2 linked regions of the Nothobranchius furzeri genome follow. The protein of the gene in region 1 purifies or fractionates together with the protein of each later gene. This does not show direct contact. Links are inferred from orthologs where the notes say so. Each region holds a gene or a part of one and is shown on either strand. Other genes may lie near its edges. The genes, in order: ppp1r7 and ubxn2a.

Region 1 (2,922 bases):
TCTTCTGCTTCATTTGGGTTAGTCGTTGGCAGTGTTGGGAACGTTACTTTTAAAAAGTAATTAGTTGTAGTTACTAATTACTTTGTCAAAAAGTAACTCAGTTACTTACCAAGTTACGAGATTATAAAAGTAACTAATTACCAAGAAAAATAACTACTTGGTTACTTTTTTCGTTAAAGAATACAAGAAAAATGGGTTCCCCTCTTAATTAAACTTACTTTATTTACTATAAATGACTACAATAGTGAAATATAAATGACTAATGCCTGGAACATAATAAAGTGTATGTCCAAATGCTTTCTTTTATAAACCTGAATAATTTAAATAAATAAGCACTTAACAGGAGGAACTACTAACAGGAACATTACACTTATCTAGACTATTAAAAGGTCACTGTGTGATATTTAACAAGACCCCAATCAGTCAAAATTTAAAATTGCAAATAGAAACACCTGTAAAGGTTCCTGAGCCTTTAAATGGTCTCTCAGTCTAGTTAAATTACTGAGATAAATGTAATGTTGTACAGTATTTTAATTTTTCCAGCTTCACATAATTGTGTGTTATTAGTAGCATTTCTGTTGCTGGTAATCTAGAAAAGGTTAAATAAATAAATAAAAATCCTTTAAAATGACACTAGAAGAGGCACAAATCTGATGGAGGACTTAAATGTACTAACTTGGGTCAGACCCAACCACAGAAGAGCTGCAGCTGGGTGGTAAACACACACAGGTAGTTCTGATAACACCTGAGCTCCATGCCATCTGAGACTGATGCATCAGTGTTACAGCGGGACTAAAGACATGATCAGGAACAGGTTACAGCTGGATGATCTAGGAAGGTAGAAGATCGGGACGTCTGAGCGGTGAACAGGTGAGCGGACCTTCGGGACGTCCCGCTGTCACGCTCAGAAGGGCACGGCTGCAGATCCACACCTGCAGCCGTAGACTATTCATCACCTCTTCCTCGTTCTTCACGGGCCGTGATGCGCTTGGATGAAAACATCTACCTCTTTAGCTGATGACAGCTTCAACACACCGCGCTGCTTAACGCACGCGTTACTGCTGGTCGTTGGGTAGCCACAGGCTCTGAGGTCAGTGTTTATTTCTCCTCCCACCTTTGAGGCTGGAGGGTGCAGACGTAGCGCAGGCAGCGTGAAGATTCACTGAATGTCAGCGCACTTGAAACTGGAAAACCATAAATCACGCATCTGCCTAAACGCCTCTGAAGAAGGAGTTTAAAAATGTTTTTGTGTGTGTGTGTGTTGATTCAGTTGGTGCTGATGGCTGTGTGTTTGTTTTTTTTAAATCCCCCCTCAGATGAATGATAATCAGATAGACAACTGGTCAGATCTGGACGAGCTGAAGAACGCCAAGTCTCTGGAGACGGTCTACCTAGAAAGAAACCCGCTACAGAAAGACCCTCAGTACCGGAGAAAGATCATGTTGGCTTTGCCCAGCGTGCGCCAGATCGACGCTACTTTTATCCGCTTCTGAAGCGCAGCGTACGACCCATCCGCCCACCTTTTTGTGTTTCGCCTCGCCTCCTTCCCTCCCTCCCTGCCTGCCCTGCTTACAAAAACAGCTCCTGATAACACTTTGGCCTCTCCATGTCATCCTCTCACCGTGTACACATTCCAACACTCACCCCATTCTTCACTCTCCATACATGAATGCATGTATGCAGTCATTCAAACCTTCATTTATGCTGTTGTGTTGATGCTTTTATTTATTATGGTTGGAACTGTGAAAGTGAAAGTCTACCATATGCTCACATCTGCTTATTTTTCTCCTTTCTGCACTTGTTTTTGTTATTGTTCTGCATGTTGGATACAATTAGGGTTCCCATCAGGGTAAAAGAAACAAGCCTTTTTTGTTGAACAAATTCTTAAAGTTGTTCCAGTGTCATAAAAATTATGTAAGGGTTTGATGCTGCTCTTGTGAGTCACAATAAGAACAATTAAAGATTAATGCTGAAGGGAAAATGTAAAAGGGAAAAAGTAGAATCTAAATTTGTTTGACTCCTGGATTCTACTATATTTCTCAGAAATGCCCTGGCCCCAGTTCTTCACAAAGAACACCTTAATGGAAAATAAAAATCAACTCTATGCTGATTTACAGTAACTTAGAAGAGTGCTACCTGCAGAATGACCAGTTTTTAGCATAAAGGTTTCTTACTAATGTGTCATAAAATAAATGGATGTCAATTAACATGTTTTTTTTGTTGTTGTCCAGCTGCTTCCTTTCCTTAAAACCTGATAGCTGATGACTCATTTCTGTTGTAGGTAAACCCCTTTTGAGAATGTGTCCAAAAACATGGATAATCAGTGATTTTACTATTTTATCTTTAACTCCTTCCTGATTACAGTCGTCGCTTATTATCAACAAACTTAAAACCTGGTCTATACTAAATTAGAATTTGTAGTCTTGGCTGGACTTCCTCAAAAGATTTTTTGTTTTATTGTAAGATAAACTCTCTGTTTGGCATACAATTTGAACATGTTTCAGCTTTAACAATGTAGGATTGCTTACAAATATCAAGTTTAAATTAGTTTTTTTTTACCCTATTAGATTGCTTAAATCAACCTGAGACTACCTGCAACAAATTTTACGACCTGTTACCCCCTCAGGGATGAGATCACCTAGATGTATACGACAGATTCAGCAGATTCCACTGCACCAGTGTTCATCTGTGTAATTAGTCTGATTTAATATTTGATCTCACTCAGTTGGTGATGAAATTACATGAAATGTTGGTTTGTATCAGAAAACCATAAGCTCTTTCCAGTGTAAGAATTATTACCTGTTATGTACCATGAACCATCAACCCAATAAATAGAAGCATACATTACTGACATGAATGTAATTTTATATCCAGTGTATTGAAATTGGTCAAACAATTATTTATGTAAATACAGATTAGAAT
Region 2 (4,398 bases), on another chromosome or scaffold:
AGATTAAGTGCATCAAGAACAAAGCTGTTTACACAGGAAAAACCCCAACCACCTACAGCTCTCCTCTAGAGTTTCACAACCATTCACACCTTCAGACATGTGACCGAAATACTTGGAACAATGACGCTAACGACTCACAGGTCAGACCGGTGGGTCTGTGACTCGCATTCCTACAGAAACACCTTTTGAGTTTGCTGGAAGGCATTATCACTCAAAAGAAGTTGCTTTTCATCCAAGCACTCAGCATGCATGCATGTGTGTGTGTCTTTGCTTTGACTTAGATGGAAAACAGAGAGCGTCATGAAAGAGGCTGACACTGGGGGCGACGAGGAGGGTGAACAATGGTAAAAACACACGGTGCACTAACTAGTGTTTGCACTTAAAGACCCTTGAGCCGATTGTGTTCAGGTAATTATCACGTCTCTGTTTGGTTTCCAGTGAGAAGAAGGAAGAAGAGGTTCCAATGAGTCGGAGTTTTTCAGTAGAGGACCTCCTCGATGAGGTGGAGAAGATCTGTTACGATGCTTCGGGGACGTCCAAGGTTTAAAACCATCACCAATCCTATCAATGCACTTCATTTACTGATGCTAACCCCACCCCAGGTGCGGCCGCATACTCAGACTAACCACGCCCCCCTCCCCCCCTTCCCTCCCCCAGATGGAGATGGTGGTGAGGTTGTGGAAGGACGGCTTCACTGTGAACGACGGAGACTTCCGCAGCTACTCAGTGCCAGAGAATCAGGAGTTCCTGGATGCCATTAAGCGAGGGTGAGTTTATTTTTAATCTGGTTAATCCAGGATATGTCCAAGATGGAGAAGTAAAAATACAAAATCTGATTTTTATTTTTGTGTACAAAGATTAAAGATGAAGCCGATAAACTTCTGAGCCGGTAGAAATGTAAGAGGTGTCGCGTTCTCTCCTCCTCGGTCTGGGAAGTTTCACAGCTTGTTGTTAATGCGTCTGAGCAGAAGTGTTCCTCATGTGGCGTCAAACAACTCCCCAGGAGTGAAGAATGGCGGCATATGAAAAGGAATATGACTGAATTCATTAATCTATTACAATAAATCAGCATTTTTAGTATCAGCATCTTTGGAACCTTAATGAAATACTTGGTGAAATATCTAGATCTAGCTTTCTGGAGCCTCCAGCCGAACGTACCACAGGAGAGCGAGGCTAGTGTTTTATTTTTATTCTCTTTGGAGTCTGTTCACCAAGTGAGAGGGTCTTGAGAAGATCTCCAGCAAGCATGACGTCTTTGGAGCCTAACTGGGATGACTGTGACTATCAAGCTGCTAATAGGCCACAAAAGTCTAAACATTTAAACAAAAACAAGTTATTTTATTGTGATTTTCGTTTTTTGCACATTAGAAAAACACATAAAGACAACATTTGGATGAAAAGGACAACATATTTACTTTTAGTACATAAAGATATAAAAGGGAAACGATCATATTAGCACGGCTTGTTTACTCCATCCAGCAGAAGCTGGGGTCTGATTTTTACTTAGTGGGTCAAACGTTGAACATTTAGGAAACCGCTGCTCTAGCCTTCAGCCTCTGGGACAGAATCAGAGATTCTAACTCGACCCACTTTGGAAGCCGCCTTGTCACATCAGCAGACTTCAGTTGCCTCGTCTACCCAGGAACTAGTGGAAACTTACCAGAGTAATTAGGTTCTGGAGGAGGAAGGTGCCAGAACGATGTCCGAATGCTCCTTTAGGGTCACACCGGCCAGTGTTTGTAATCTCATCAGGGCCGTGTCTTTGTCTCACGGATTGTTTTGTTAACAAGCTGAACTTTGAATCTGTCCCAGGGAGCTTCCAGCCGAGTGGGAGAGCAGAGCAGAAGAGGAGGAGCTGGAGATCAGCGTGGAGGACATGACGGAGGAAAACTACGTCTACAAGAAGAAGGCCGCCGCCTTTCACCCCTTCAGCGGGCGGGGGTACCGACTCGGCAGGTCTGTTGCTAGTACATAATCCTAATCTGTTGTTATGCAGCCTAACCCCAACCCTAGTTCATAGGAGATCTGAAAGACGTGCATTAAAAAGGCTGCATTCCATTTTTAAAAAGCACAGATTGTTCCAGAATACTGTCCACCACTAGGGGGCACTCTTAAGTCATTTATCTAAAGACCCATTGAGCAAAACTGACCACAATCGCAATGAAAGTGACAAACCTCATTTTTGTCACATTTAGTTCATCAGCTTTTCCAAACATTCTGCACAAATAAATCTCTTCAGACGTCACAATCTGCTTAAACTAAAATAAAAACACGTTCCGTGTGCTGCTGACACTCGACCGGTGGTTAATCTGCTGTTTACTCCCTGTCCGTTCCCAGCGTGGCACCCAGAGTCGTGGCCAGGTCACCATCTGTGCACGAGGATGGAGAATCTCCTCCTATTCCCATGGTAACACTAGACCACTCTCTTCCTGTCACGTCCCTGCAGATCTGGTTGGCCGACGGACGGAGACTGGTCCAGAGGTTCAACCTATCGCATCGGTGAGGCCGTTATCCCAGAATATTACACATAGCAGGGAAGTTTGAGGGTTTTTTTCTCTTGTTTTTGTGGTGACGGGTTTTGGAAGGGCTTTAGTCTAGTCTGATGAAGGTTAAACTATGCACCGGGCTGCAGTAAAAAACATAATCTGAGTTGAAGCAGCAGCAGAAGCGCAGATCTAGAAAATCCCCAGTGAGGGATTGCATAACTCGGATGCAGCTTTTACATAACAGGCTAAAGGATACAGAGGGCTGAGCCCCTCCAGTCCTCTGCTTGTCTCGATGAGCTGCCGTAGGACCGTTCTTACACACGGGTCGGTGTTAATAATAAATGAAACCACGTGGGGAGTGGAGTGCTTGGCAGAGAACGGTGTTTTACGTGCAGCAGCAGCAGTCTCAGATGGGACTATTTGGGTTTCATTGTGTGTCTTTTCCTAATCCGCCTCAGGATTGCTGATGTTCACGACTTCGCCTCGCGCTGCCAGAGAAGCTGCCCACCCTTCATCCTGACCACATCCCTCCCTTACCGAGAGCTCACCGACAAAGACCTGAGTCTAGAGGAGGCAGACCTGGCCCACGCCGTCATCGTCCAGAGACCCCTGATCACGCACCCTCTGTTTGGACACTCGTGACCTGTCCCGACTCGGGAGTCTCACTCACGGCACGCCTCCCTGTCCTGCGACTCGAATGGTGTTTGTTGTGCTGCCTGAGCCGCCTCTGGCGGCCGGCGTTCCCGTACGGTGTTTGTGGGTGATTAGCTGCAGGCTAACTCACCAGATCTGTCACTAAGTGCTGCTGAGAGGATGCTGTCGTGTTCTCCTGGAGGACAAAGATAATCTCCAAACCCCAGAATGTTCGAACAGGACAAACAAGTGTCTCCCCCCCACCCCCACCCACAATGCAACTATGATAAGCTAAGTCTTCCCAAACTCTGACTACTACTTTATGCACTGTTTGCAGTTTAAATAAGGGTTTGATAGGTTTACGTTTACAGTTTATCGACCACGTATTGTTTTTATCTTACCGTATTATGTCTGCCTGCTTTTAAGGATGTTTTTTGGGTTTCTAGAGTGATTTATTTTTTGCATTTGTTTTATTTTTTGTTTGTTTTTAAAGGAGTCGTTTATAAAAGTTCTGTTGTTTGACCGAATCGTTAAAATGGACGTCACGAGTCATTGTGTAACACAATAAAATCTTTTAAAATGTGTACATTTTTGTTTTGTTTTCCCCAAAAAACAACAACTTTGGAGCTCTTCAGAAGAGCCAAAAAACCAGTGAAGGGAGATTTATCAGCATCCGACCACAGAACAGCCTTTAGGTCGACTCTGATTATATTTGAGCTTTTTATGGGATAAAAATGTTACGTCTGAATAATTCCTTTTAATTTGGAGTTAAATTTGCTAATGAAAGCTGGTTTTTACTATTCTATTAAATTACAACCTCAAATATAACTAGAACATTAACAAACCTCCAAAGTTAAGCACTTATTCAGCACATATTTGCTGTAATTTGCACCCAAATCTGTTTTGCTCGTTTGATTTGGGTTTGCTTTTAGATTTATTTTTAATTTAAAGCATTAACACTATATTTAGTGTGGTCTGATGGTGCATCGCTGCATTAAAGTCAGACTAAGGATTTTCATCAGTAACACATCTTTGGGATCCATAAGGACTGGTTGTGAACTGATATGGATTTGTTTCCATTTAAGAAAAAGTGTATCCATCTTTATTTTTCTGACAACAATGCAGAAATACCCTTTCACAGGACTGCATTTCACATCCCCAAGGAGTCCAAAATAGAGTTTTTAAAATCCCAACTTTGGAAAATAATTATAAAAGTCAGTTTTCCTCACAGATAACTAATAATAATGATATTTGATCAAAGGTGACCAACTTTACAGAT

The links.
Region 2: the proteins of ppp1r7 (region 1) and ubxn2a purify together in Homo sapiens (affinity purification with mass spectrometry; 3 studies listed by BioGRID and IntAct, counting the BioPlex papers as one, with this or other methods). This does not show direct contact. The link is inferred for Nothobranchius furzeri from reciprocal best matches to the Homo sapiens genes PPP1R7 and UBXN2A.

Annotation. Positions count from the first base shown.
Region 1 is NC_091751.1:53,576,193-53,579,114, reverse strand, and holds the end of ppp1r7 (protein phosphatase 1 regulatory subunit 7), read left to right. Parts: intron 1-1,316; coding exon 1,317-1,493; 3' UTR 1,494-2,207; downstream 2,208-2,922. UniProt on the Homo sapiens protein: Regulatory subunit of protein phosphatase 1.
Region 2 is NC_091742.1:21,867,896-21,872,293, reverse strand, and holds the end of ubxn2a (UBX domain-containing protein 2A), read left to right. Parts: intron 1-281; 5' UTR 282-300; coding exon 301-344; intron 345-438; coding exon 439-541; intron 542-657; coding exon 658-767; intron 768-1,812; coding exon 1,813-1,956; intron 1,957-2,337; coding exon 2,338-2,499; intron 2,500-2,944; coding exon 2,945-3,128; 3' UTR 3,129-3,703; downstream 3,704-4,398. UniProt on the Homo sapiens protein: Acts to repress the ubiquitination and subsequent endoplasmic reticulum-associated degradation of CHRNA3 by the STUB1-VCP-UBXN2A complex in cortical neurons.